4 linked regions of the Cricetulus griseus genome follow. The protein of the gene in region 1 purifies or fractionates together with the protein of each later gene. This does not show direct contact. Links are inferred from orthologs where the notes say so. Each region holds a gene or a part of one and is shown on either strand. Other genes may lie near its edges.

Region 1 (7,109 bases):
CCTTGGATCTGGATCAGGTGAGTGTAGACAGAGCTGGGACAGTATCCAGATGAGGAACCTGGACATCAATTATTAGACCTGGGAGTCGGAACTGATGAAGGGGCTAGCAAGGAGCTACAGAGAAGCGACAAGAAACAGCTAGTGAGTGCTGTCCCTGGGAGTCAAAGGGAGCAAGCAACACAGATTTAGGACGGAACGACCCTGCTAACGTATACAGAGGGCAAAACATTAGATGTGTGCTTTGGGGATTGGCACACATCTGTAATCTTGGCACTTGGAGCAGTTGGAGGCAGGAGGATCTCCCGACTTCAAGGTTACCATTTGAGGTTAACCTGAACTACATGAGACCCTTTCTCAGAAAACAAAATAGGCTTGTGTAAACAAGTGAAGAGGCAGATGACAAATAGAGGAAGTCGTAAATTAAACACTTTTGTTTTCAAGTTAATGGCAAAGTGAAGTAGTAGCTCTGCGGTAGATAGGCAAACACAAGTGTTGAGCAGGGTAACAGCCTGAGGCCTTCCAGGCAGTTTCCAAACGTGCTTCCAGCATCTGTGTAGCAGTGGGCGGCAACCGCGTTTGAGAAAAAGCCAGTGGAGCCCAAATCTGTCGGGCAGAGGCTCCCTCAGTCTGTGGGTCACTTGGCCAAGCTCCTCCGCCTCACCGTCAGCCCTTTCTGCAGACTGCAAGTTCACCTGCCATTACCGTTGTCGTGCGCTCGTCTGCCTGGACTGCTGCGGGCCCCGAGACCTGGGCTGGGATCCCGCACTGGAAAGGGACACGAACGTGGTGAGCTCGGGGTCGGGGTGGGGGGAGTGTGGGCGGGGAGGGGACCTGGGGCTCGTCAGCCCTCCCTCAGGGGAGGTACCAGGCGCCGCACACAACGAACCTCCCAATTACCGATTTCCCGGCATCAGGGAGTCCACTTCTGCTTGTGGGTCTGTCAGGAGCTGACTCCACGCAAACACCACGGCCCACAAGCCATTGGCCGCGAAGTCGCGCCCTGGCACGCTACACGCGCACTTCTCACACCCCGCTTCCGGCCCTGAGGCAACGGCGGTGCACATGCGCGCGCGCACAGACACTTCCCTCCCTCTGGGAGGCGGGGCCGAGTGGAGATGCCTCAGAGATGAGGTCATTCCTCGGGGTGTAGCGTTGTGTCCCCGCCCCTCGCCCCTCCCACCATCGCCCCCCCCGCCGTACCATCAGCTCCAGATTCTGGTTGTCTAGCCCTAACGGTCACCGCGCGTTGCAGGCCTCTGCGCAAGCGCGTACAGACACGCTCACACGCACGCACGCACGCACGCACGCGCGCGCCCGGGGCGGTGGTTGGAGGCTCCGCACGCAGTGGACCAGGGATCGGGCGGGCAAGGCGATGGGTGAGGCTGAGACGCCTTCCTTCGAAATGACCTGGAGCAGCACGACCAGCAGTGGCTACTGCAGCCAGGAGGACTCGGACTCGGAGCTCGAGCAGTACTTCACGGCGCGGACCTCGCTGGTCCGCAGGCCCCGCCGGGACCAGGTGGGAGCCGCCCCGGGGCGGAGGGGGGTGCGGCCGGCCGGCCAGCCGGCGGGTGAGGGGCGGCCGCTCGAGCCCCGCCCGCCCCTGCCCGCCTCTCCGTGAGCCTCCCGGCGGGGCCACACGGAAACGGCCCCGGGAAATGTGTGTAGGGCTCTGCTCCTGGTTAAGCCGGGGTCCAGCGCGCTGGAACTGAGTACCCGGGCTTCCCTGGCTTGCGGTCACAGACCGGTTGAGCCAGGGCAAGCAGCTGCGAAGCTTGGGTGGACCCCAGGCGGGCGTTATTCACCCATGACTAAAGCCAGCCTCAGCCCAAACCCGCATCTTGATTTCGCATTTGGGCGCTCCTACTCCCTCCCTGGGGGAAATAAGGAAGTGGAGGAGGAGTCCGCCGGGAAGTGAGAAGTTTGTTTGGGAGGGGACCCTGTCCCTTCCATTTTCAGTCTTGGATCAGCCAGTAAAGTCCCCAGCCATTGCTGGGCCAACTCTGACACCAGATGCTGGGATGTAGACAATTTTCCGATCTTCCTTAACTTTGCTGGGGGGGGGTGCATAGTCAGATAGATGATCTTTGCCTTGGACTTTAAGCATTAGGAGCGGGAAGACTAACTGTAAAGTGTACTACCAGGGCAGCTGAATCTCTCTTAGAGTCTCCTAGATGTGCCACATTATCAGAGACTTTTCTGGGACTGTCGTGGTTGTGACCACCACCCTCAGATAATTTATTCTTGAACCTGAATACCTCAAAAGAGCACAGAGGCTGGGGCATCGGGAGAGTGAGGTGGAGACCGAAGGTTAGTAAACTTAGCAGCAGCGAAGTAGAATTCCTTATTTGAGCCAAAAAAAAAAAAAAAAATGGAGTTGTCTGTGGTGGTGGTGTAGGTGAGATTTTGCTACAGATTTTTTTATAGATGGGCTGCTACTTGACACCCAAAAAACTTTAGTCCAGACTGTAGATTCAGTGTGGGCCCCTGGGACTGTCTCCGTGCCACGCAGCCTGAGTCATCTTCTCTTATGGAAAGGTGGAAAAAACACAAGGTACTAGCCAGTTGAAAGGTATATGAAGAATTGTTAAAAAGCAGCTGAAGTTTGTAGCAAGTTCAGTTGGAGGATACTTATCTAGCTTGCATGATGGCCTGGCTTCCATCCACAGCATCGTTAATGAACTAAAATAAATAAATAGATTAATAGATAAATGGGAGCTGAGAAATAAGGTAAAATAAGGGCTGGGGATATAGTTCAGGGATTGAGCACTTGCCCAGCTTGTGTGAGGCTGTGGGTTCGATCCCCAGCTGAGACAGTGGCCATCCCAGCTGTGTTTGTACCAGGACCTTTCTGATGTCAACAGGAAGACTGAGGCAGTAAGGCCAAGTGAGTTTGGTTGAAGAAAATCAGTTCAGAGTCCTGACTGTTCTGACCCTCTCCACCCTGCCAGCAAACACCCAGTTCCTGAAGAGCTAAAAAAGCTTCAGGCTGAGTTTCCAGACAGCAAGGGGAAGAGCATCCTACCTGCTTGGTACTGATAGGATGGCCTCTGCCAGAAAGTTGCCTGCACATCTCTGGCAGATTAGAACCTGGCTTGACGCTGCCTTTGGTGAAGCTTGAGTCATGGGTAAATGCTATGTGACAGTGATTTCTCCCCTATGTGAGATGTGGTGGGGCTGGCCCCGTGTTGGTATTACAGAGATCACCTTTTCCCTCCTGCCTGCTGGTAGTTAGACTCCTGGTGTGTGTCAGCTCCCATGCTTCGCTCCCTGCAGTGCCTCAAGTTCTGTGCTGGTACAAAGTGGGAGACTTGGGCTGCCTTCTCCAGAATAAACTTTGACCCTACTGGTATTCTGGGCTCAGTTGAGATACGGTTTTAATTTTATTTGGGTGGGGGTAGTACTTGGAATGGAAGGGCCTTTCACTTGCTAGACAAGTACTCTGTCACTTTTATCCCCAAGAAGTGTTTTTACTTTAAACAACATTCCTCCCTAATAGTCCTTCATGTTTTCCTGGCCCCTTGCCATGTGCCTTTATTTGTCTTTATTTCTGTAATGCTGTTAGGGGCCATAACCAGTGCTGAGGTGACCCACCCCCCAGACAGCAGAAAGCCAAATGATTCTTTGTTGTCTTCATCTATAACATGCAAAACTGAGAGCAGTGACAAATTCAGGGGGTTTGGGTTTAGTGACAGGGCCAAAATCAAGATCCAAGGGGTGTTCTGGCTTTTTTGTTTTTTCCACCAAAAAAGCCTTGCACTTTTTTTTTGTATTTTTTTTTTTGTTTTTCAAGACAGGGTTTCTCTGTGTAGCTTTGGAGCCTATCCTGACACTCGCTCTGGAGACCAGGCTGGCCTCGAACTAACAGAGATCCGCCTGCCTCTGCCTCCCGAGTCTGGGATTAAAGGCGTGCGCCACCAAGAGCCCAGCTAAGCCTTGCACTTTTCAAGGACCCTGTATCCATGCTGGCCTGTCTTTTAGGACGAGCCTGTACAGCGGGAGACACCTGACCTTTCTCAGGCTGAGACTGAGCAGAAGATCAAGGATTACAATGGCCAAATCAACAGCAACCTTTTCATGAGCCTGGTGAGTTGACTGCTCAGGCTAGCAGTGTGGGGAGGAGCAGAACCCAGCTTTGTGCCAGATGGCTAGAGTTGTAGCCAAAGTCTTCTTGGTTGGCTCAAGCCGTGATCTATGCATACCTAGCCTAGCCCCAGGTGGACTCAACCCTAGCCTCTTCCATCTCCAGTAGAATTTCCTGTCATGGTATGGTTTTTCTTTCTCTTTTTAGAACAAGGATGGCTCCTACACAGGCTTCATCAAGGTTCAGCTGAAACTGGTACGTCCTGTCTCAGTGCCTTCCAGCAAGAAACCGCCTTCTTTACAGGACGCCCGGCGGGGCCCAGGGCGGAGCACAGCTGTGAGGCGCCGCACCTCCTTTTACTTGCCTAAGGATGCTATTAAGCACTTGCATGTTCTGTCACGAACACGGGCACGTGAGGTCATTGAGGCCCTGCTGCGCAAGTTCATGGTAGTGGATGATCCTCGCAAGTTTGCGCTCTTTGAGCGAACAGAGCGTCATGGCCAAGGTAGGTTTCCTATCCCAGCTCTCCCTGTGTAAGGTATATATCCCATACCTGTGCATTCAGGGGCTGGGGCACCTGAGCCTGTTTCTAATTCTTTATCCTTTCCCCCTGCCTGACCTCCAGTGTACTTCCGGAAACTGTCAGATGATGAGCAGCCCTTGAAGCTACGGCTTCTTGCAGGGCCTAGTGAGAAGGCCCTGAGCTTTGTCTTAAAAGAGAATGACTCTGGGGAGGTGAATGTGAGTACATAATCTTTCTTATTTTCTTATCACTAGACAAAGCTGGTAGTATGTAGCTACAATGAGGGTTTCAGGAGAAACTGGGCTGGAGAACAAGCCTGCACAACCTCTGTAAGAATATACAGGTCCCCGAAATTAAAGTATGGGTTTCCAGGACACTCAAGCCAAAGTCTAGAGCCTATCCCAAGAAACTAGGAAGAAACTGAATCTAGTGGTTCATACTTGTCATTGTGGGGCTTGGAATGCTGAGACTTGAGGCTTGCTAGGAGTTTGGGGTCAGTCTGGGCCACAAAAGCAAGCGAAGAAGAATTTTCCTAGCACTTTGTTGTTTCTTGGTGTGGAAATTGCTCCAAAGATTGAGGGATTTGACTGACTCATGGTGAGCCAACACAAGTTCAAATCTACACAGGTGTGGGCTTAGAGATGGCTTGGCAGTTAAGAGTTAAGAGTACTTCCTGCTTTTCCAGAGAACCCAAATTCTGTTTGAAGCACCCATGTTAGGTAGACCACTTTCACCTACAACTCCAGTTCCAAAGGATTTGACTTCTTCTTCTGGCTTCAGAGGGTAGCTGTACTTATGTGTGCATAACCCACACAGACACACACCTATAAAATTAAAACAATGGGGCTGGAAAGATGGTTCAGTGGTTAAAAGCACTTACTGCTCACACAGAGGACCCAGATTAGGTTCTTAGCATCCACATAGAGGGTTACTGATGCCCGTAATTCTAGACCATGCACACAGTGCACATATATGCTCACAGGCATATATATGTTTGTACACATGTCCACAGAAGTCAGAAGATGTTGGCTTCCCTGAAACTGGAGCTAAGATGATTGAAAGCCAACATATAGTTGGTGGGAATTGAACCCAGGTCCTAGCAAGAGCAACCGGTGCTCTTACCCACTGAACCATCTCTCCAGCCCCTAAAAACAAATCTTAAAGAAAAAAGCTTCACAGGTATAACCAGGAAACAGGAAGGCCTACTTTCAAGTGTTAAGACTTTTTACCAGCTAGGCACGTGAGGTCATTGAGGCCCTGCTGCGCAAGTTCATGATAGTAGATGATCCTTACAAGTTTGCACTCTTTGAGTGAACTGAGCACCATGGCCGGAGGCCAGGCTAAGCTACATAGCAAGGTCCTATATCAAAAAAGAAACAACAACAAAAAACATTCTTCCTAGCAAGGCCTAGTGACACTGGCCTGTAATCTCAACTACTTGGGCTTCTGAAGCAGAAGAATCACAAGTTCAACGTCTTCCTGGGGATATAAAGTAACCTAAAGGCCAGTCTGGGTTAACTTAGTGAGATGCTCTCTCAAAAAGTAAAAGGATTTGGGCCATAGTTCGGTGGTTCATGTGCTTAGCATGTTACATGCCTTTGGTTCATGTCTTAGGATTCCTATTGCTATGATGAAACACCATGGCCAAAAGCAAAAGGGTTTATTTGTACACTTCCACATCATAGCCCGTCATTGGAAGAAGTCAGGACAGGAGCTCACACAGGGCAGGATCTGATGCAGAGTCCATAAAGGGTGCTGCTCACTGGCTTGCTCCCCCTGGCTTGCTCAGCCTGCTTTCTTATAGAATCCATGACCGCTAGCCCAGGAATGGCCCCACCCACCATGGGCTGAGCCCTCCCCCATCAATTACTAATAAAGAAAATGTCTTACAGCTGGATATTATAGAGGCATTTTTCTCAAGGTTTCCTCCTTTCAGGTAATACTCGCTTGTGTCAAGTTGACCTAAAACTAGCCAGCACAATTCAACTCCCAGTAATGTTATAAAAAAGGCTTCTCACATAGGGCTCAGTGTGTGGCCCAGTGGTAAGAATATATGCTTAATATGCGTAAAGCTCAGCAGCAAAAGAAAAAAATCGGGATGACTAGTGGGCTGCCTGAGAAGGTAGCTTGAAGTAAAGAAAAATGTAGCTTGTTTACATTTATGAGACTCTGGGTTTGGTTCATAGCCCATTGTATTGTGGCAGGGGGAGACAACAGGTATTTGAGAACATGCCAATTTTTTTTTTTTTTTAAAGATTTATTTGTTATGTATACAGTGTTCTGCCTGCATGTATCCCTGCAGTCCAGAAGAGGGCACCAGACTACAGTACAAATGGTTGAGAGCCACCATGTGGTTGCTGGGAGAAGGGGCAATGCTCTTAACCCCTGAGCCATCTCTCCAGCCCCCTGTGTCTATGAGATAACTTTTTTTTATAAGATCTGTCTTTTATGCAGACTTCTCATGAAGATCCTAGCACAGACTATTTAGCCAAGAGCCTAATG
Region 2 (7,866 bases), on another chromosome or scaffold:
CCGGAGCGGCGCATGTCTCGGACTGTAGGCCGTGTGGGCCCAGGTTTTGCATCCTTCTTCAGGTCACGCGTGGGCGGAGCTGGCTCTCTCCGCACTGTGCTTCTGCTGGCGGAGCTGCTGATGGTGCTGCGGACAGGTTCTTTACGCGAGCTGTCCCGCGAGGCCAAGCTGTCCTGGCTGTCAGCCCTCGCAGGAGCATCCAAGTCACCTGTGGTGACCACTGGCCGGCGCAGACACGGCAGATGCTGCAGGCGCTGCAGCCCGTCCAGCAGGCGTGTGGGCGGCGTGCGTCCAGGGAACAGCACTCGAACCACCTTGTCACTGGGCGATGCAGGCTGCCACACCAGCAGTGCGCAGGCCGGTGCCGCAGGGTCCCCAGGTGGCGGGTGCAGCACGAAGAGCTCAAGGCGGCCAACACCCAGCTTCTCAAAGAGGACAGTGGGGCGTGTGGGCTGCGGGCCACGCTGCAGGGGCAGGGGTGCAATGCCCAGGCTGCGCAGCAGGCCCCGCGCGCACACTGCCTCATCCTCACCCCCGCGCAGCCGAGATGTTGCCTCTCGAGCATTGAGGAATACGACACCCAGGGCAGGGGACAGAAGGCGGCGCAGCCTCTCCTCGCATTGTCCCTGTGGCCCTGCAGCAGCCTCACGTTCTGCCAGCTTGCGGCGCAGCAGGCTATTGAGGCCAGGCAGGCTGTCTGCGCCTGCGTGGGTCACTAGCACTGCGTCCACGCGGTCCAGGTGGCGCACCAGCTTCCAGAAGCTCGACTTGGGGTTGGAACCGCCATTCACCAGCACAGTGAAGCCATTGACTGCGAAGAAGGCGGCGTCGCCCAGGCCACCAGGGAACACATAGCAGCAGGGCCGCGCCAGGCGCAGGAAGCCCCCTGCGGCCGGCGGCTCCAGCAGCTCGAAGGGCGATGGCGGCTCCAGCGACTCAGCCACATACTCCAGAAAGGCGCGCAGGCCCTCGGAGGCTGGCAGCCGCGCGGGTGGGTTCAGGCGCAGCCGCAGTCCAGGCGTGGGGCCCAGCAGCATCCAGTCCCCAAAGGTCGGACAGGACAGGGTGAGGGCCGGTGGGGCAATGGGTGCCGAGGCCAGAGCATCCTGGACCTGTAGGACCAGCACAGGGCCACCTGGATCCAAGGACTTGGGCACCACTCCTCCTAATCGCCAACCTGCCACTACGATCCCCAGGCCCTCCTGGCCCATGGCCCCATTCTTTGTACCTTCCCTCTCACAGCACTGTCTGGGTGAGCAGTTTGGGGGCCCTTTTCCCCACCCCAGAGCAGTGCGAAGGGGAAGAGCTCACCTCTTTGTCCCCCAGCACCTGCAGGAAGTGCTGCGCTGAGAACCCCCCGGTCTGCAGCAGCAGCTCCCCAGTCTCCTCCAGGCAGGGTCCTGCCAGCACCAGCACTTTATGAGGGGCAGGGTCCATCAGGAGGTTCCGGAGCTGTGGGAGGAACTGAGAGGCTGCAGGGGAAGCAGAGCCTGGCCCACTGTGGGCACAACAGTCCCTTCCCTGCAGCCCCCCTTCCTGCACCAGCTGACATCACCTGCCTAGCAGTACTCTGGCTACTCTAGCAGGAGACTGCTTCAGGCAGACACACCTAGCTTTTTTTTTTTTTTTTTTTTTTTAAGGCAAGATTCTCTATGAAAGCACAGGTTACCCATCACCTCTTAATCCTGCTTCTGTGGGAAAAGTGAGGCCTGCAGCAGCATCCCCAAAAAACACAGAACAAAACAAACGTTGAAAGGATCAACTGTGGCCAGCAGGGAGAACCCCAGAGCAGTCTGACGTCTGCTGATGTATATAACAAGTGCAGACTGACTAGCCAAAGCCAAGGCTCCTAGGCACCAGGGAGAGCTCCCAGGTCAGCCTGCTGGGTGTACCCTGTGGCTCCTGCCTTCCTGTCCCACCCCCACTAGAGACAGGAAGTTGAGGCAGGAAGGATCAAGCACATCTTCTGGGGCGTGTGTGAGGACAGGACAACACACATCCCAGGTCACCGGCTCCTACCTCATCGCACAGGGATTTGTCTGAAGGGTTCAGCAGGACCAGCGTCTCCAGGGTCTCTCCACGGTGGTGCAGGCTCCGCTGACCTGAGGGATGACAGGTTCAGGATGACAGAGAGTCAGGGGCCTGATAGCAAATCCTGCCACCACCAAGGGACCCTCAAGCATGCAAGCCCAGAACTCACACCAGGGTGCTACATCCTGTAAGCAAAGATGAGGGCAAATGGGAAGCGAGGGGTGCCTGGGCCTCAAGTAGAGACAACCAAGATAGCAGCACTGGTGCCAGGATGGCCACCCTCGCACAAGCTCCAGCTCAGCACTTAAGCCAGGAGGTGCCAGGAGGCTCCCAAGGGCAAACAGCAACTTCAGTCCCACCCCTGTGAGGCTGCTTGTAGAGCTCCAGCAGACTCAGCTGGAGCTATGTCACTACCCAGAGGGCCTTATCAGAGGGGCTGTGGTACACAGGAGGTCACACAGCATATGGCATTTCCAGCTCTTTCTCCAGGGATCAGGAAGCCACAGTGACTCAAAGGGACAATTAGATGGTCACTTCCTTCCCCTCCAGCAGCTGCAGGTGATGACTCAATCCACTGGCCAGGAGATGAGCTACAAGAAATACCCACAAAGCAGCCACCGGCTGCTCTGGCCACCCTGGGATCCCCTGGGGAGCTTTTCCTGTACCCCATCTCTGCTTCCCTATTGACTGAGACCACCCTGTAGGTTCTCCCCAAGGGCCCCTCCCTAGAGTCCTCCCTGTATCCTTTTCATGCATAGGCCCTGCTCTTCCTGACCCAAAGCTGAGGCAGCATGTCCAGGTTAGGGGTAGCAGGGGCCTTTGGTGGTGCCCCAAGCCATGCCCAGCATACAGCTGTCACTCAGCAGCTTGGCATCCAGTGAATGAGCAGTAGGGATCCTGGGACAGGTCACCTTTCACAATGCTGGAGAAGGTGGCCGAGTGCCGGGACACAAAAGCCTTGAGCTGCTCATCCAGGCTGCAGATGGTGGGGTCCACATCCTCCCATGAGCGAAGACCTGCAGGCAGCAGGAGACAGACCTCAGCTCCAGCACCCTCCTGTCTGGCTGTCCTGGCCCCACAGCTTGGTTCCTGGGCAGGCAGACCCAAGGGACTCAGGCAGGCCTCAGCCTTTCACTGACTGGAAGCCTGGCTGGCCATCTGTCCTAGGTCTCCTGCTTTCCTGCCAGGATCCTGAACTTAGAGGGAGGGAGGGAGGGAGAGAGGGAGGGAGAGAGAGAGAGAGAGAGAGAGAGAGAGAGAGAGAGAGAGAGAGAGAGAGAGAGAAAGTGTGTGTGTGTGATCCTCACCTTCTGCATCTTATGTCTGGGACAGTGTCCCTCACTGAATCTTCAGGTCATCACCTGGTGAGGCAGTGAGCAGCCTCTCCGGAGCTGGGATTACAGGTACATACTGCCAAGCCCAGCTTTGATGGGAGTCTCAGCTTCTGAGCACCTTGTTCCTCAGCCATCTCAGCCACTGGGGCAGCTGACTCAGACTCCCAGTGCTGTGAGCTCCCCTGGGCTGTGATACCTCTCTTCAGACTCTAAGACAGGTTCCTCTAAGCCAATGGTTCTCAACCTTCCTGATGCTGTCACCCTTTTTGTGGTGACCCCAACCATAAAATTATTTGTTGCTACTTCACAACTGTAATTTTGGTAGTGTTATGATTTGTAAATACCTGATATGCAATCTCTGTGAAGGGGTCAATCGACTCCCCAAAGGTGTGGAGACCCACAAGTTGAGGGCTGACATAGGGGGTTGTAATCCAAGCCCTGCCTGTGTTGAGCTGTCACAGTCAGAGACAGTCTTCAGACCATGCATTCAGATGGGCATCCTATGTTCTTCTGGGGATTTGGGGTTTTGTTTTGGTTTTTTTTATTTGTTTTTGGTTTTTGAGACAGGGTTTCTCTGTGTAACCCTGGCTGTCCTGGGACTCACTCTGTAGACCAGGCTGCCCTGGAACTCACAGAGATCCACCTGCCTTTGCCTCCTGAGTGCTGGGATCAAAGGCGTGCACCACCAACGCCCCGCAGGGTTTGGTTTTTTGAGACAGTATTTCACATAGTCCAGGATGGGCGCAAATTCCCTAAGATGCCTCCAGCTGAGGACAAACCCCTTATCCTGCCTCCATCTCAGAATTTATGAGATGAGCAGCGAGGGACGCTGGGGATTAAGCTGGGTCTGCATCATGCCAAGCATCGCCCCTACCTACCGAACCTTCCTTGTTTTCAAGAAAGTTGTCTTGTGGCCCAGGCCATCCTGGAACTCGCTGCCCCGTTGCGAGCGGTGCTGCCCCTCCCGGCGCCCCGGTGTGACAGGTGCGCCTGAGTCAGCTCCCCGGTGCCAAGCGCCCCCAGGGCGGCCGCGCCACCCACGCGCCAATTAGCATCGGGAAAAGCAGGCCCCGGGGCGCCAGGGAACGTGCGAGCCTGGCCAGGGGCGGGGCCACAAGAGGAAGCCACACCCCGCCGGAACCCCGGGGCCGGGGAGACGGCGCCCACCCGTGCCCCGCGTCGCCCCCGGAACCCTGTCCCCCGGAATCCGGCCCCCCCCCCGCCGCGCCCCACGCGGACCCAGTGGCCGCGCCGCCGGGATGTGCCCAGGCGGCCGTCAGGCGCGCGCGGGCCCCGGCGCCCCCGGACCCCAGGCCGCGCCCGGAACGTGGCGTCCCGGGACGCCGCGCCCCGCCCGGACCCCGGCCCGCAGCGCGCCGGAACCCCCCGGCCCCACCCGCACGCCCCGCCGCCCGGCCCTCCGGCCCCCGCGAGCCCCACCTCGTTCCAGCTCCTCCAGGACGTAGGCCAGCAGCCCTGGGCAGCCGCACTCGCCGCCCACCACCAGCAGCAGCAGCGAGCTCGGCGCCGCCACAGCCTCGGGCGCCGCCATCACCGCCGCCATCTTCGCGCTGCCCCGACGCCCGGGCGCCCCGCCCCCGTTTGGCCACGCCCCTTCGTGGGGCGTAGCGGAAGCGCCGGAGACCCCGGGCGGAAGCGCCCCCTCCTGCCCACCCATCAGCGCCCTGGAAGCCTCGGGAGCCGGTAGAGAGCTGAGACAGCACTGTTCTGAGGGGCTGATAACACCGCCAAAATTCCATCCATTCATTCACCCATTCGCCCAGTCGCCCATGCAGGGACACTCTTACAAGTTCTGTCCCGTAAAGTCAGCCTGTAACAGCGGCTCCACACAGAACCAGACTCTGATACGAACTAACAGCTCCCTAAATTAGGATCCCGACAGGTAGGGCTTGGAGGGGTGTGTAGGAGTTTGCTGTGTGAGTGTCTGCGTCTGGGTGTGGTGACACACGTTACAGTATGGGGAGGTATTTAAGTCAAGAGGACACTTCCTGTCATTTTAGGAGAAAGGACATTTTGGAGCTGTCAAATCAGCAGGCCTGTTAGTGTTAGCGCCCATTTGACTCCAACTAAGTCCGCCTCTCGGCCTTCATCGAACTAATGATCCTCCGGCCTCCACTCTTCCCACATGCTGGGACGGCAGGCAGTCAACACTACAAAAAGCTTTGGTTCCACTTGGACTATATATAGCCTGATGGGCACTGCTTGTGCCACTCCCATCCAAACCGGCTGGAACAGCCTCACTTCTATCTTTGATGGCCACCCCATGTTAACTGTTCAGACCGAGAGTGCCCGCTGGCCGCCCTCACGAGTGAGCCCGGCCTCTGGTGTATACTCAGGGGGCTGAGGCAGGGGGATCAGAAGTTCACAGTCAGCCTCAGTTACCTAGCAAATAGGAGGCCAGTCCCTGCATCAAAAAGAAACAGTAAAAAAAGGCAGACTCATCCCTTTAACCCCAGGACTCGGGAGGCAGAAGCAGGCGGATCTCTGTGAGTTCGAGGACAGCCTGGTCTACAGAGCGAGTGCCAGGACAGCCAAGGCTACACAGAGAATATTTCAAAACAAAAAAAAATAAGCAAAATGCAAATCAGGACAGACGTGAAAAGGACTAGGAAGCAGAGCCAAGCCACTGCTGATTTTCTGTCAGGGCCTGTCTACACCAACTTCCTCCTTGGTCAGTATGTAGCCGTGGCCTCATGATCCAGGGTTCCTGGATACCAATTTCCTGTCTTTTTGGCTCTGTATCCTTCCCAAGTCCTGACTCCTCCTGTGGCTGGTCAGCCTGAGAAGGCTGGGACCTGTATTTTCCTCTGTTATAATGGAAACAGACCTGGGTTTGGCGTTGCATCTGGTCACCCCAGACTCATCTCAGAAAACTGAACTAGAAGGATTGTGGAGAGTCTGAGGCCATGTCAGGCTATAGAGCAAGCCCAAGGACAGCCTGGGCTACATAGGGAGTTCAAAGTCAATCTGGAGTATAGAGTGAGTACCAGGGCAGCCTGTGGTAATCCTTTAAAACCAACATAAGAAATGGCTCAGCAGCTAAGAACTCTTGGATGCTCCTGCAGGAGACCCAAGTCATTCCCAGCACCCACACTGCAGCTCCCAACTGCCTGGAACTCCTGCTCCAAGGAATCTACAGACCCTTTCTGGCCTTCATGGGTGTGTGTGTGTGTGTGTGTGTGTGTGTGTGTGTGTGTGTACATACTAAGAAATCTTTAAAGCAAAACTAAGAGACAGGCATGTTGGCTCCCCTTTAATCCCCGCACATGGGGGGCAGAGGTAGGCAGATTTTGTGGTCAGCCTGCACTACATAGAAAACTTCAAGCCACTTAAGGCTACAGGGAGACCCCACCAAAAAAACCAGGGAGCTGGAGAACTGATGAAGACCAGCAGCCTCGTGCTCTCTGTTTCTGTCCTGTGCAAGGGACACTGAGTGAAGGTTTGCAGAATGGACCCAACAGCCTGTCTGCTTGTTCAGTCTTTTCCTCCGTCACCAGTCCTTTGGAATATGAACCCAGGAGCTGAAGTTTGCATTCTTCCAGACGCCTAAGGCCCCTCTGTTTTCCTTTTCCCCATCTGTCTCTCTGTATTCCACAGGGGCCTCAAACTGTCGGGTCTCCTGCCTCAGCCTCCAGGCTTTGGGCAAGGCAGGCCTGGGGCCTAGCACCTGCAGTTAGTGCTGATGTCATAATCTGGTCTCTGAGGGCCTGGAGTGGTTCCCCATTAAACTTTGCATGAGTGTTCTGTAAAACTCTCAAAATAAGTCTCGTGTCCTTGAGTTTTTCTGTCCCTGCAGTTCGGGGTCCAGGCGTGGGGAGTGCAAGGCTCTTCTCGAGAAGATGAATCACTGGTCAGTTCCAAATACTAGACTCGGAAGTCAGGCCACGTCGCTCTCCTCTGTCCACATCTAGATCCAGTCAGCTACTAGGTCAGCGGCCTCATACCCTGGGACGGGGTGGCGGGAGGGAAGCGAGTGATGAGGAAACGCAGTGAACCCTCGGGGCAGACATTGTGTCTGTAACACTCCCAAGTACTTCAATCAGACAACCCTCTCCACTGCTGGGGACACACAGGACCTCCACAGGATCCAGAGCCGCGTGTCAGCTTCTCACTGGGGGTTTCTAGGCAGCCACCCCTGAGCCACGCCCCCAGCCCCTCCCTGTGGGATCCCAGGCTGTCACTCTACCCCTGAGCCACGCCCCCAGCACCTCCTTAGAGGGTTTTAGGCTGTCACTCTATCCCTGAGCCACACCCCCAGCCCCTCCGCTCAGGATCCCAGGCTGTTACTCTACCCCTGGGCCACGCCCCCAGCCCCTCCTTAGAGGGTTTTAGGCTGTCACTCTACCCCCTGATGCACGCCCCCAGCCCCTCCCTGAAGGATCCGAGGCTGTCACTCTGCCCCTGAGCCATGCCCCAGCCCCTCCTTAGAGGGTTTTAGGCATACATAGACCAGGCTCCCCTGTAAGTTAAAATGTTCCCG
Region 3 (7,566 bases), on another chromosome or scaffold:
TGAGTCATCTCATTGGCCTCCTGTTGTCCTTACATCCAATATTCCATTGCAACATATGGAACAATTCAGTTAGTGCTAGTATATTTCAACACTTTCTGATTTTGTCTAAGATAGTACATACCTCAGGCTCAAAATTGAGCAAATAGGAACAATTTATAGCAGAAGTTTAACAGTATCTTATTTTCATTCTGGATATTTTGAGGACTACCTCCTATTTATTTGTGATAGTAGTGTTTCTATGTACACAGAAACATAGACATTTTCCCCAAATAAATTTAAGTAAAATAAATGAGGTAAAAGAGCACTGATATCAACTTGATTATTAATTTGATTGGGTTGAGAGACACCTAGGCTATTAGTAAAGCACACCTTAGGGTGTGTCTGTTGGGGTGTTTCTAGAGGATTAGCTAACAGGATAAGAACTACCTTGGATGTGGTTAGCACCACTCCCTAGACTGGACACAGATGGAAGAAATGGGGAGAAGCAATGTGTCTGCTTCCTGGCTGCAAGGAGGTGAGCAGCCCTCTTCCATTACACACTCCTCCCACCACGCCGTTCTGTCCTACCTCAGGACAAAAGAAAAGGAAGGAACAGACCATGGCTGGAAACAGGAATCTGTGAGCAGAAACAAATCTTCCTACACCAGTCTCTCACAGGAATTTGTGACAAAGAGTACCATAAACACTCCCCCACACATAGGAGTAATGGTGGTTCTGAGAAATGGAAGAAACTCACCTGATGAAGCCATTCTGATGTTGTTCCCCTCCTCACCCTCACCATGGACCACCCCACTGCCCTAACCTAAGTAGCTGCCTGTCTTCACCAAACATCAGGCAGCTTCCCACTTAAATAGTTTCTTTTCACTGGTGGCCAAATCTCCGCAGCAAGCTTGTTGCAGACCCCTAATGCCATATGTCAGGTAACTTGAGTCTCCATTGACCAGACTAGCATAGTCTTTGGCAGCCCACTGGATAGCCTTTCCAGGCTTCAAGAAAGAAATAGGGCAAAAGACATGTAACTAGTAAGTCATGACAGAGAATACTTAAAGACACTGGGTTGTTTTGAGAAATCTTTCAATAGGTGTTTTGTTTTGTTTTGAGATAGGGTCTTATGTATCCCAGACTGGTTTTGAACTCATCAGAAGCCGAGGATGACCTTGAACTTTTTTGATCCTCCTTGCCTGAACAGCCTGAGTGCTTAGACTACACTGCCCAATGATAAGGATGCTGGAATGGGCCTGCTTTCTACAAGCTGAGCTACAGCCCCTCCAGTTAGCATTTTAAAACTAGTATATACTCTAATAATAAGTGTATTGACTACACCTATTTCCATCTAACTTGCTTCCCTAAAACTCTAATCCCCAGTTTGTATAATAATGCAGTGTTTGCCCTTCCCTCCTGTCCTAAGACAGAAATATATTCATTAGATTTGTGAAAAGTGGATGTATATGGTGGCCTTTAGAAACATTATTATGAGTTCTTCTAAATATAGACAAAGGGAATAAAAACTCCCAAAGCTATGTGTATCTTAAAAGACATCATTGTCACACAAAATAATTCTGCCTGTGTATCCCCAAGGAACTGAAAAGCACATTATAGTCACTGTAACCCTGCTGGGCAGAGACAGTATCTTCTCTATTCTTTGTTATGCCTGATGCTATCTGTTCAGCATATTAATAAAAAAAGAAATCTGTATCTAACATAATATGTCTGCCTCCTCTCGTTCATTTCCCATGAGCACCAAAGGACAGTTCTTTTCCAGACTAGACTCCAAAGCCTGAACGTATTAGGTTTAGGGCTTGCAAAGTATCCTTTAAGGTGGTAAATATTCCTGTTGTTTGAAACAAACAAACAAAAATGACAAGTACACCATTCTAAATCTACAAGGTCAAAAAGGCAGATTCCAGTCTTCTTGAGTGGGGTACCCTAACCCAGGGCCCACTGTGATTGCTGCAGCTATGCAAATCCCAACTTCACGGTGAATGGGACACAGGAAGAGGCCTGATGTGCATTCGGGACTCAGGACATAATCCCACTCTGAAACAGGAAGTCATCCCCTCTCCGGTACAGGAGAGTTGATGGTTTGGGGCAAGGAAGGCGTGTGTAAGGAAGGGTGGTGGTGCGGCCCGCCTCGGGGCTACAGCAGAGTTTTTTGGGTCCCCCAGAGCCTGGCTCCCGGCCCTGCCCAGACTATTGTCCACACACCTCGTCCCTCCAGCTTCCGGGCCGCCGGCGAAATGATTTGCTGCAGATGACATCAGCCCTGGGCCAAGGGCTACAGGAGTGGAGGCAGCTACCACGAGGATGTGCCGGGTGGTCCTTTCCTCCTCCTCCTCTTCCTCCACCTCCTCCTCCTCCTCCTCCTCCCAGGCTCCTAGCCTAGTCTCCATATAAACGGCACCGCCTCCCCGGCCTCTCACTCCCCACTCCTCTCTTCCGCGCCGGGAGAGGGCGGAGGAGGAGGCGACGCGCGCGCCGGGAGGAGGGGGGACGCAGGGGGCGGAGCGGAGACAGCACCTTCGGAGATAATCTTTTCTCCTGCCGCAGAGCAGAGGAGCGGCGGGAGAGGAACACTTCGCCCAGGCTTTAGCAGCGCCCGCAGGATGGCGACCGTGGTGGTGGAAGCCACCGAGCCGGAGCCATCGGGCAGCATCGCCAACCCGGCGGCGTCCACCTCGCCCAGCCTGTCGCACCGCTTCCTAGACAGCAAGTTCTACTTGCTGGTGGTGGTCGGCGAAACCGTGACCGAAGAGCACCTGAGGCGTGCCATCGGCAACATCGAGCTGGGTAAGCAGTCCCGCGGCCCCCCAGGGACGTGCGTAGGTAGATGCGCCAGAAGGACCCCACCCAGGGCGCGACCGCCACCTTGTTCTCCCGCGCGCCCCGCACCCACGCCTCTCCAGGCCACATCCCACACTCCATCTGGACTCTTTTCTGAGCTCATTTCCAAATATTCTATTTGAGACCCAAAGAGAGAATCTTTAATAGCCCGAGGGATGGATCACCTGGCTGGGTCTGTGGCCGCCCCCGACTTGGCCACCTCCTCTCGTGGTCAGTGAAATGCAGGTGTCAGAGGAGCGGAGGCCATAATAAAACCACAACCGCAGAAAGGGTGGGGTGGACCTAGCATAACCTCTCTTTTCAGCTTCCCTCTCGCCCTAGGCAAAGGCTGAGACCCTCCTCCCCTTACCCGAAAACCTGGGGTCCAAATACCATGTGCCAAGGCCCTCATGGAAATCGTCCTTATCATAGCCACCCTGTGCAACCCGCCCTTGACACCACACACACACACACACACACACACACACACACACACACACACTGAGAATGGAGAATGCCCATTCTGACTTTAAACTTCCAGATCCTTTCTTTCCTGGGAATGACTAGGCTAGTCCTAGTGCCACGCCCGCCCCACCCCACCCCCACCCCCCAGGACACAGGCATGGAACCCGTCTGCATTCGGTTCCCAGACGAAGTCCGGCCTCGTCCTGCCCCTGAGGTCCTGGCTTCAGCTTTCAGAAAGGACAATGGGACTCCAGGGTGTGGGGTGGGCTTTTTTGAAAAGTCTCAGCTTCAGGAACCATAGCTTGAATGGGAAGAGGGGGTGGCGGGGTAGGGCCAGCTCCTGGGCTGCTGCGCGCACCGGGAGCGGGCTCTGCAGAGGAGGAATAGCGGTTCCCGGGGAACCCTGGGCGGGGCTGGGAGGGCCCGGGAGGGCCCGGGAGGACGGAGTCTCGGGCGGGCACGATCGGCCCCGCCCTTCATTCAGCCCCACCCTTGATTCAGCCCCACCCGGCCTGCCGCAGTGCCCGCACTGGGCAGTCGCACCTGCCCCCGCACTGCGGCGCCCCCGGCTGGCCCGGAGCTCACTCTGCCCGAGCTGCGCGCGGTCGGGGGGCCTTGCGCCCACCTTTGGCTGTGAGCCGCTTTGTTGCGCTCCCAGCCCCTCGGTGGGCAGCTCTGGCCTCTGCCTTATTCCGCCCTCCTCCCCATCCTTCCCTTCACTTCATCCCTGGCAGAGGTCGCTGGGTCCCCGAACAGCGCAGCCTGAGCGCTCTATTCTCTCGGGGTGGTGCTGAAACGTTTCTGCCAGGAGACACCGGCTGGTGGGCGTGGTGCAGTCCGCACTGCGGTCTCTACGGCAGCCCGAGGCGGACAAAGGGCGTTCACGCAGCCCTCCTTTCCCGCTCCCACTCACGCCAATAAAAGATGGATGAAATGATTTTGGTTTAGATGAATAAATAAATAAACAAAAGCTTGTTACCTGCCTCTGCATTTGGAAATGGCCACTTGTCCCCAGAACAAAAGGCTGCAGGGTGGGGACTGGAGTTGCAGACCCGGTTCTTTTGTTTAACTTTAAAGCACGGATTTTCCCTTTCAGCTAAAAAGAAAACAACAACAACAACAACAATAACAACAACAACAAAAGTGAGCAGAAAGCCAGTCATGATTTTTCATTCGGAAAAAAAAAAACAAGAATAAGATTTCAGAAGTGGAATGCTTTATCTGAACGTCTCAGTAATCCATTTTCAGGCTATAAGCCTTTGATCTGCTTCTCAAACTGGGTTTATTTGCACATTTTATTCCTTGGAAAATCACACGTACTGACTTTGGGTGTGGCTATTGTGGGAATTAATGACTGGGTGTTTTAAAATTATTTTCTTTATGTAACATTGCTGGGAAATAACATATTAAGAAGTGTCTGTTCATCTCCAGAATTTTCAGGATCACCTATTGTGGTGCCAAGAGAGGAATCATCACGCCCATTTTTAGAGATTGGGTACGCAGAGAGGCAGGAAGGGTGAGGGACAGACTCAAGGTCATATTGTGAAGCAGTGACAGGAGGACCGGTACTGCAGTGTCACTACTTGCTTGGCCGGGTCAGATGGTAGTGCAGGCAGGCTAACGTCAGAGGAAGATTCAGCAGGCGGTTTTCAGACCTTGTCTTTGTACAGTCATCCACTTGTGGGCAGCGCTCAGTGCAGGGAGGTGGCTCGGCCATCACCTTCTGACTACAGTTATTTTCCTGCTTTGTTACTGGCCTGATCGTCCTTTGCTGGGGTTTATTCAAGCCTCTTTCTGTCAGAGGAGAAAATATGCTGCCAAGGAATTCTGTGATGTTGGTCCTAGCTTTATTTTGTTTTACACTGCCAGCATTTAGTACTAAGATCCAGATTTGTCTTTCTAACAAAAAATAGTTTCAATTTAAAAAAAAAGCACAAACCATAGGCTAGCAGTTCACTGAATTTTCACAAAGTGAGCATACCTGTCTTGTCCAGATAAGAAACAGCCATAGTCATCCCAGGAGCCACCCCGCCCACCAACCCCAATGTTCACTTTGCAATCAGCATGCTTTTTTGATTTTTAATTCCCTAATTTGGTCAGATTTTTCCATAGATCTCTGAAATGGTTATATCGATCTCATTAAGAATCAACCAAGTGTGTGAGCACAGCCCTTTCCCCCAGGGTAGTAACAGATGTTGCTGATCCTCTGGAGAGTGCTCTCCTGGGTCCAGGGGTCTCCTATGCAGCTCACATTGCCCTGCCTTTCAAGGAGAAGTGAAAATCCTGCTTCCCAGGATTTTCAGACAGTGGGAGATGACTTAGCAACAGGGAGGCAGGCTCTGTTTCTTGGCATGACACACTGCTGCTTTAGAGGGCAGATTGCAGCTGGGCCTCCTCCAGAGGTCACTCTGATGCCACTGCTATTGTTGCTGGTGCCTGCAGGCTACATTATGTGAAGCAAGATGGAGCTGCTCCAGGGGGCTCAGCTCTGATTGTGAGCTGCCTGCAGGCTGGGAAAACAGCTTCTCATCTGTTAGCTTTCTTATTTCCCCTTCCTTTCCCATCCAAACTCAAGCACTGTGCAGTTAGAGACCCTGGAGACTGGTATATTTGCCATCTGATTGATTACCCAGGGCACTCTGAAAAATAGTCTCGACTCCTGCAGAGGGATGGTAAATAATGTAGTAAAAACAATTGGCCTGAAACACCCCAGTATGGATGCTAAGAGCTTCTTGAGCCCAGGGAAGAAAAATGGTTGCTCTTACTTGCTCAGTTGTGTTCGAAAAGCACAAAGTCAAAAAGAGTTGATCATTTCTTTCCCCAGAGCTTCAAACAATAGTGTTTCCTTACACTGGTCCAGCTACACTGATGTAGTTATATAGGACTTGATTCCACCATAGTGACTACCACCAACTGACTCATTTGTCCCTCCTCAATTAGCCCCAATGTGGCGTTAGCTTAATTTATTTTTAGAAAAATGCTGTCATTTGGTATATTTCAATACATAGGCTCTACACAACAATAACCTGACAAACTGAATTTTAAAGCCTGGTGCAATGTGTTTTCATTGTTTCATGCCATTCTTTTTAAAGAAACTAAGCCATCTACATGTTAGCTTGAGGCTTTCAATTACTATTATAAGGCAACTATCCCTCTAGGTGACACTGGGAATGAACAAGATGTGCTCCTGAGAAAATAGATAACTGTAATATCCACTGCCTTGGATCTTTAGATGTGAGTTGAGCTGGTTACAATCTAACAGTCTGATGTTGCTTTACCCATTATGCTTCTGTCCAAGATGGCAGGCCAGGAAATTAAAAGCCTGGGAAAGCTTCGGGATTTAATTTTCATTTTCTTCTAGCAAGGAAAAAAAAGTGAAAACCATATATGGTGGGAGTTAAAGAGATGCTAGAATGTGTTACTTTTATTATATTTGTCTTCACACTTCCAAAGTCAGAAGGCAGATGGATTATTTTGCTTGCGCTGCCTAATTGGCGTTACCCACTAAGGGCTCTGTGATCCAAGTTAAAACACAAGCCGGTCAGTCCTCAAATGGAAGGTCATTAAATTGGTGCTTTTCTGTTAACCTTCCCTGAGAACTTACTTCCCAAAGTAACCTCTAACTTTTAGATTAAGAAATAAATTCTTATAAATCACTGTTTGTTTGCTTCTGTTGTAAGATGTTATCTAAGACAGTGAGTTTTTCACTGCCAATGCTTTGAAATGATGTTCTTTAAGATGTCATTTGCATTACACACAAATGTGTTACAGACATTAGATTACAGGCTTTGTAAAGAGAAGAGCAAACCAAAGGTTGGGTCAAAGGAAACCAGGGAAATCTTTTCTCTAAAAAGCCGCTTAGCATTTTCTTTTTAGTTGTTTCTCTGGACTTATACTTGTGTTCTAGGTTCAGGTTACCTTTTAGTGTTGTTTTCCAAACAGAATCATAGGATTATAGGCTGGCTGTTCTGATATTTACAAGAAATACTCAAAAGCCTGTTTCTCAAAGGGAACAATTAAATTGGACCCATTGAGGAAAACAGCTTATGAAAGGCCCACGTAACTGTCACATGGAACCCCTGAGCTTTGCATGCACTGGTGGTCCATTCGTTTTCCTTCCTTTGGTCTACTGCTTCTATTAGAAATATACAGTTTTCATCCATTAAAGGAGAGGCGCTTTTTTGGTTTTTATTAAACCCCAAATTCCTCCATCATCAGGGTACACTTGGCACAATGTAGCCTGCATACCCGGAGACCTACGCTCCTCTCCCTTCTTCACCT
Region 4 (7,109 bases), on another chromosome or scaffold:
AGATATCCACACCCCCACAGGGAAAGCTCAATATACTTGCTCTCTTCAAAGTACATCAGTGTTACTGACTCCCATTCAAACAAAACAAAAACCGGTATACAAGGGGAAAAAGAATGAAATCCAATGGAGAAACCTACCACAGTAATATCACATGGCTATCTTTTCACACTAGATTTTTCTTTCTTTCTCTCTCCTTCAACCCTCTCCCATTCTCCCCTCCCTCTTCCACCTCTCAAAGCCAGTAAAATAGGCTCAATCTAATCTGGAGGAAAATATCAAAGTCATATTGAGGGGGTTCTACAAAAATGTCTAACATGAAACCATCAACACTATCAGGATCATAGAAAACAAAAGAACTAAGAAAGTGGCAGAGACCACAGAAGGTTACAAAGACATGAGTGGATCTTGGAACAGAAAATGGATATTAATGAAAACCTAGTTAAACCCAAATAAATCTTGGAATTAAAAAAGTTATCTATGAGGTCATGAAGATACTCCACAAAAAAATTTCATTACTTACCTTTGGAGAAGTGGCTGGGGCACCACTTCTTTACTCTGAAAAATAGTAAATAAAAGGAAAGATCTAGTGTTTACCCCATCTTTCCTAAATGAATAACCATCAAGTTTATTAAAACTATTTTAGAACTCTAATAAGTCAGAAAAAATGATAGAATTAAGTATCACAGTTTTCAATACTCAACAAAAAGGATCATCACCCACTCCCCAAAACCAACAGGTAAGCTTGCTGGAGAAGTTCCTGATGGGAAACCAGGCTGACATGGAGAGAGCATGGTCAAACCTAACATCACAAAGAGAGAAACCAGTCCTAACACATGGAGTAAAATGCACACAATACCACAACCATGAGGAACTCAAGCAAAGAGACTTACTACCATTTCACATGAAAGGAGAAAAAGGTTTGAGAAAGTTATTTTACCAAAGCCCACTGTATAAGATCAAATAATGAACATTACTAACCATATCATTTTAGCAACAAAAGATCAATTATAACTCTTCAAACAAAACCAAGCAAGCAAGCCATCAATTTTAAATTAATCAATAAGAAAATAAAAGAACTTCAGTTTCTGAGCTACAACTTTAAAAACTCAGTTTTCCAAAATTTAAATTAGTCCCAGAAAATAGTAACTGGCATTTATTCATAAATGAATAGTTTCTGTTTGTATGGCTGTAACTGTACAAAAATGCTCCATTAAATATAAAGTAAGCATTCACAAGCTAAGGACAGAATATTCCAAGAAGGTTTGAAAGACCCCCGGAAGCTCAGGCCTCCAGGATCTGGCCCAGTACCAAGGTCACCCCAATCACCAGGTGGAGTCGAAAGCTTGATGCAAACTGCTCGAGGCTTTATTATAGTTGTTTAATGAGCTAACCCCATGTTAGCTCAGGTCTTTCATCCACCCACCATGGAGGCTAGCCAGGAAAGACGGCTCGAGGCGTCTGCATAGAGATCTTATAGGGCAGCGTAAGGGGAGTGTCTAGGGGTATGCACAGGCTCAGGATTGGTGTGCCTCCAGGCTTGGAGGGCTTGCCCTGTGTTGATTGGTCAACTGGCTGTTATGGCCCATAGGCCCTCCCAGGGTGGTTGCTACGCTCTGCACGTCATTGCTGTGCACTTGTCCGAAAAGCACACCCAGAGCAGTAAAGCATAGCACCACCTGCTAACTTCTGATTGGTTCCTTGCCATGAGGCAGGCATCTGACCTCCTAGTGACCAAGGCAAGGTCATGGCGAGCACGTGTTACTGTCATGGCTGCCGAAATGGGGAACTGGTCCCTTCAGGTTCAACTAGTATTTCATCTTTACCAAACTTCACTGGGAATGCCTCAAAAGACCTTAACAACTAGGAAGCTGCCTGAGCCCTATATGTGTAAATAACACTTAAAAATTCTCGTTTCCAAATCCAGCAGTATTTGTCTTTACTAAAGACAGTAAAGTGGGTTCTGGAACCATGAGTTCCACAAGGACCACAGTAACAGATAACAAATGCTACATGTGTATTAATTAGGATGTTGGTAAAGGGCTTTACGTATTGAACTAAGACAACTGCTACTTCTCTTGCTCGGCAAAAACAAAACAGTATCAGCTTCCACAAGATGATTCTAGTTAACTAAATGCTTGTACATTTACTGGAATAAATACATTCAGTACTTTTTAAATAAAGTCTGATACTTTCAGTTTAATTTTTAAAATTTTTATTTCTTAGTGATCTTTAAAACTTTAAAAGTTTAGGACCAACTAATCAATTCAGCTGGACTGGTCAGCCAGCAAGCTTCAGAGATCAACTGGTCTGAGGGTAAAAGTACTCAGCACTAGTCCCTGAGTTTGATTCCCAGGACCCACAAGGTGGAAGGAGAGAACCAATTCCTGCAAGTTGTCCTTTAACCTCCACACACGCCCACGCACCTATGTGCACACGCAGGAACACATTGTACTGGCTAGTTTCATGTAAACACAGGCTAGAATCAGAGGGAGCCTCAGTTGAGAAAATGTCTCCGTAAGATCAGGCTGTAGGCAGGCCTGAAGGGCATTTTCTCAATTAGTGATTGATGGGGGAGAACCTAGTCCAATTTGGGTGGTACCATCCCAGGGCTGGTGGTCCTGGGTTCTATAAGAAAGCAGGCTGAGCAAGCCATGGGGAGCAAGCCAGTAAGCAGCACCCATCCAATGCCTCTATAGCAGCTCCTCCCACCAGGTTTCTGCCCTTTCTGTTCTCACTTCCTTTGACAATAATATGAAATTGTAAGCCAAATAAACCTTTTCCTCCCCAAGTTGCTTTGGCCATGGTGTTAGCATCCAGACACACGTTGGCCCCACCCCTTGGTCACTTGTCAGAATGCATCACCCCTTTCGAGCATGGCAGGCAATACCCTGTCTCTATATGCAGGTGCAAAAGGTCCCTTTAAGAGACAAGCTCCGCCCACTCCCGCTCTCTCCCACAGTTCCTCTGAAGAGGCAGGCAGGTCTTTGCCCCTCTCTCTCTCACTCACTCTCCCCTGTCTCCCTTTCCTTCCCCCAATAAAACTTCCCACATAAGTTCTGTCTGCATGCTCTGTTTGTCCCTCACCTGCCATGGGATCTGCCAAGGTCCCCCTCTCGATGCCAACAGTAACCCAAACTAAGACAAATGTAATTTTTAAAAGTTAGCCTCTCCGTGGTGGCACACATCTTTAATCCCAGCACTGAGGTGGCAGAGGCTGGCGGATCTCTGTGAGTTTGAGTCCAGCCTGATCTACAGGGGACAGCCAGAGCTACACACAGAAAAACTCTGTCTACAGAAAGAAAAACCCTGTATCCAAACAAACAAAAAAAAAAGGCAAATGTTTTTGTTTTTAAACAGAAGAGACTCAGAATGGAAGTCTACTGACATTAAAAGCAGATGTTGGTTATAACCTAAAATCTTTTTTTTTTTTTTTCTCAATACAGGATTCTCTGTGTAGCCCTGGCTATCCTGGAACTACTCTGTAGACCAGCCTGGCCTCGAACTCATAAAGATCCGCCTGCCTCTGCCTCCTGAATGCTGGGATTAAAGGTGTGTGACACCATCGCCCAGCAGGGGTCCTAGTTCTATGAATCTGGATGTGTCCCATTTTCCCCTTGTCCCTCCAAATGTCTGAAGCAGGTACCTCATTAATTTGCTTTAAAATACTAATCACTGGGGGCTGGAGAAATGGCTCAGAGGTTAATAGTACTTGCTGTCTTGCAGAAGACTTGGGTTCTGATCCCAGGTCCCATATGGCAGCTTACAACTGCCGATAACTCCACTTCCAGGGGATCTAATGCTCTTTTAGATCTTGATGGCAGAGAACATATACTCCATCGCTTGCATGCCTAGTGCCTATAGAGGCCAGAAGAGGGTATCAAATCCCCTCAAACTGGAGTTAGAGGACTGTGAGCTAGGAAATGAACTTGGTCCTCTGGAAGAGTAGCCAGTGCTCTTAACCACTGACCCTTCCCTCCAAGCATTTAATCTTGAAATGGGCAATGGTTTCTTTGTTTCAAGTCTCAGCCTTCTGTTGGACCATGAGTCTCCATTTCACCTTACATCACATTTCTTAAAATAGGTAGGAACATAGTCTCCTAAATGTAAACCACACCTACTCTGTTTGCAGTGGGTATCCCCAATTTTCTACCTAAAATGTCTTTCTCCTACCATGTTAATGCCAAGTCCAAGCTCAAAGACTAATTCAAATTCTATCTGCTCCTTGGAGCATGCATTCCTCTAACCAACACTCATCTTTCTTCTGACTCCCTCTAACAGTTAGTACTACAAAGTATAACCATAAGGTATTTTAGGACTATTGTGTGTATGCTGGTTTTGTCTCTCTAAATATAAGGTATCCCAAGGGGACTGCTAGACACATAATGAATATTAAATTAAGATAAGTTTCCTATTGCTAAAACATTTGTATTCCAAATTGTTAAGTCAGTCAGTTTAGTATAAGTTGTGTCTGATTAAAGAAAAAACAAAAAAACAAAAAAACACCAATCATCCTCATCTTTATCCTGCCAGATTTAAAGCCTACAATTTACTAAGTGGGAAAAGTTTTCTTCTTAGCATGCATCAGTTCATCTACAGTAATGAGCAGAAGACTTGGGTTCTGACCCCAGGTCCCATATGGCAGCTTTAGGAATCAAGTGGAGGTACCACATTCCATAAGCCCCTTCTTGGAGGAGTACCTCCAGGTCAGAAGAAAAAAGTGCAGCTCTCTTCATTAACATAATGTTTCCCACCTGTTACAAAAAAAAAGGCAGGTTTCACACATAATTAACCAACCTGAGAAATAATAATTGACTACAAAAAGTAAGGTTTGGAAAAACAGTGCTAGATCACTCAGGGTGCAATGGCCCACACTTTGTATACCTAGCAGTCAATTCCTCCTCTCTTTTCCTTTCTTAGGTTTAAGACAAATTTGCTAACACACTTACCTTTCTCATTCTATCCAATCTGAATCTAATTTCAATCTAACTAGAGACATTAAATTTTTCACATTTTCAAGCCCCAAAGTGTTAACAGTCAATATGGTCTTGAGATAAACATCAAGTTTAGTATGACAGCACAGTAAACAGACCCAAGAGTTCTGTCATTCATTGTAGGTTAAAAACTACTAGTAAGCAGGCAGAAGCAAGAATGGCAAAATGGAAATTCTTTTTCTCTAGGAATTCTTTTTCTTTTTTCTTTCCAAGAAAACCCACAGAAGATCACCTTTTAAATCAAAATGTAAGTATAAACCAATGTGCTATTTATTATGTCAAGTTACCTGAAGTGTGCCTCCCCTGATTCTGTGGCATTCTTTGGAAGAGATCATGGTTGTATTCATAATATCTGTAGTCTTCTTGTACACGATCTCCAAGTGGCCTCCTCCTCTGACCATCAAAAAAGTTATCTGAATAAAAGTATCGGGAACCAGAGTCTCCATTTTCAACAGCAAAATTAACTTCTGTTAAAAATGACTGTGATGAGCCATACTCTCGAGGAACATCTGCTAGGCTCCTGACAAGGTAAGAAGAAGGTGCAGACAGTCTATTGCTTTCTCTTCTCATTACTTCGTGAGGCGTCCTTTGAATTGGAGTTCTCAGAAAACTCTGGTTTCTAGAAACTACTCCATCTCCAGAAGCTGAGAAAGCATTAGAGCTTGAGTCTGGAAGACAGATATCAGTCCGTCTTGGAATTGTTGGACCATGGCGAATAAATGAAGGCATAAGATCTATAATCAAACAGAATAAGATCACCATTTCAATAAGTACACTCTTCTAAAGCTATATATGTTAACAAAGGGCTCCAGAAAACAAAAATTTAATTTTAATACTAGTACTTTAATTTCCCAAGCAAATAAATTTATAATCTGTATTACTGTGCTATGTATAAGCTCAGCAACACCTGAATTGATGCTGTATATTGTCATAGAAAATACAATACAATGTCAGTGAGACTGAAAATAGTCTAATAAATCAATGCAGTCAACAGCATCATGCAGCACAGCAGTTAGGTTTTCACTTGATTTTAGTATTGCCAAGAATCTTTGTTCATGGGTCCCTAACTTCGTCCCAAAGTCAGCAGGGAGTAGCATGGGAAAGAATTCGCTGCCCATTTTCCCTGGTTAAAATGCTAAGTCAGAAGGAACTCCCTTGCATGGGGATGCCAATATCTCTCACTCCCTGATGGGGACGCTAGGGAGACAGCAATTCCATGATTGAAATTTCCAAAAAAGAAAGTGGGGGAATGCAGGGACCAGCTCCCCATTTCAGCAGCCATGACAGTAACTCGTGCTCGCCATGACCTTGTCCTAGTCACTAGAAGTCAGATGCCTGTCTCGTGGGAAGGAACCAATCAGAAGTTAGCTGGTGGTGCTATGCTTTACTGCTCTGGGTGTGCTTATGGGACAAGTGCACAGCAATGACGTGCAGAGCATAGCAACCACCCTGGGAAGGCCTATGGGCCATAACAACCAATTGACCAATCAACACAGGGCAAGCCCTCCAAGCCTGAAGGCACACCAATCCTAGGCCTGTGCATACCCCTAAACACTCCCCATACACTGCCCTACAAGATCTCTCTGCAGCCCCTTCTAGCTGTCTTTGCTAGCCATCCGCCATGACAGGTGGGTGAAAGACCTGAGCTAACATGGGGTTAGCTCTTTAAACAACAATAAAGCCTCATGCAGTCTGCATCAAAAAAAAAAAAAAGAATCTTTGTTCATTCCAACACAATTTCATTACAATAAAGAAAAATGCTACTCCAAAACATGCAAAGGCAAATTTCTTTTAAAAGATTTTTAAATTAACAGTTTTGTCTTTCTACTCTCAGAATTACCCAGTTCTAGGTACAATGTTCAAAATTAGAAAGCAAAAGTGTGCGGTGTGGAAATTGAAAAATAATCTAATCCCAAAGATGCACACAAATGTTGAATCTACTGAAAAATGATAAGCCTGGAATTATAATTATGGCTCCTTTAAGAACAGATAACTCAAAGCAAGACAATGGATTACAGAAAACAATGTGTGAACAGCTTAGATTTTCTTAGCTAGAAGACTGGAGAGATGGCTCAGCGGTTAAGATTTTCTAAGCTAGAAAGCGAATACCTTTAAAAC

The links.
Region 2: the proteins of ras association domain-containing protein 1 (region 1) and Map1s purify together in Homo sapiens (affinity purification with mass spectrometry; 4 studies listed by BioGRID and IntAct, counting the BioPlex papers as one, with this or other methods). This does not show direct contact. The link is inferred for Cricetulus griseus from reciprocal best matches to the Homo sapiens genes RASSF1 and MAP1S.
Region 3: the proteins of ras association domain-containing protein 1 (region 1) and Map1b purify together in Homo sapiens (affinity purification with mass spectrometry; 3 studies listed by BioGRID and IntAct, counting the BioPlex papers as one, with this or other methods). This does not show direct contact. The link is inferred for Cricetulus griseus from reciprocal best matches to the Homo sapiens genes RASSF1 and MAP1B.
Region 4: the proteins of ras association domain-containing protein 1 (region 1) and Sav1 purify together in Homo sapiens (affinity purification with western blotting; 3 studies listed by BioGRID, with this or other methods). This does not show direct contact. The link is inferred for Cricetulus griseus from reciprocal best matches to the Homo sapiens genes RASSF1 and SAV1.

The regions. Positions count from the first base shown.
Region 1 is NC_048597.1:215,735,570-215,742,678, forward strand, and holds part of ras association domain-containing protein 1, read left to right. Parts: exon of another isoform or gene 1-679; coding exon 680-786; intron 787-886; exon of another isoform or gene 887-1,109; intron 1,110-1,263; exon of another isoform or gene 1,264-1,372; coding exon of another isoform or gene 1,373-1,519; intron 1,520-3,981; coding exon 3,982-4,086; intron 4,087-4,291; coding exon 4,292-4,589; intron 4,590-4,709; coding exon 4,710-4,825; intron 4,826-7,109. UniProt on the Homo sapiens protein: Potential tumor suppressor. Required for death receptor-dependent apoptosis. Mediates activation of STK3/MST2 and STK4/MST1 during Fas-induced apoptosis by preventing their dephosphorylation.
Region 2 is NW_023276806.1:248,104,585-248,112,450, forward strand, and holds the start of Map1s (microtubule-associated protein 1S), read right to left. Parts: upstream 4,967-7,866; 5' UTR 4,930-4,966; coding exon 4,806-4,929; intron 4,479-4,805; exon of another isoform or gene 4,244-4,478; intron 3,988-4,243; exon of another isoform or gene 3,339-3,987; intron 3,048-3,338; coding exon 2,943-3,047; intron 2,919-2,942; exon of another isoform or gene 2,201-2,918; intron 2,103-2,200; coding exon 2,020-2,102; intron 1,473-2,019; exon of another isoform or gene 1,453-1,472; coding exon 1,312-1,452; intron 1,113-1,311; coding exon 1-1,112. UniProt on the Homo sapiens protein: Microtubule-associated protein that mediates aggregation of mitochondria resulting in cell death and genomic destruction (MAGD). Plays a role in anchoring the microtubule organizing center to the centrosomes. Binds to DNA. Plays a role in apoptosis.
Region 3 is NC_048595.1:318,290,029-318,297,594, reverse strand, and holds the start of Map1b (microtubule-associated protein 1B), read left to right. Parts: upstream 1-2,452; 5' UTR 2,453-2,603; coding exon 2,604-2,787; intron 2,788-7,566. UniProt on the Homo sapiens protein: Facilitates tyrosination of alpha-tubulin in neuronal microtubules. Phosphorylated MAP1B is required for proper microtubule dynamics and plays a role in the cytoskeletal changes that accompany neuronal differentiation and neurite extension.
Region 4 is NC_048598.1:133,400,168-133,407,276, reverse strand, and holds part of Sav1 (protein salvador homolog 1), read right to left. Parts: intron 5,726-7,109; coding exon 5,279-5,725; intron 1-5,278. UniProt on the Homo sapiens protein: Regulator of STK3/MST2 and STK4/MST1 in the Hippo signaling pathway which plays a pivotal role in organ size control and tumor suppression by restricting proliferation and promoting apoptosis.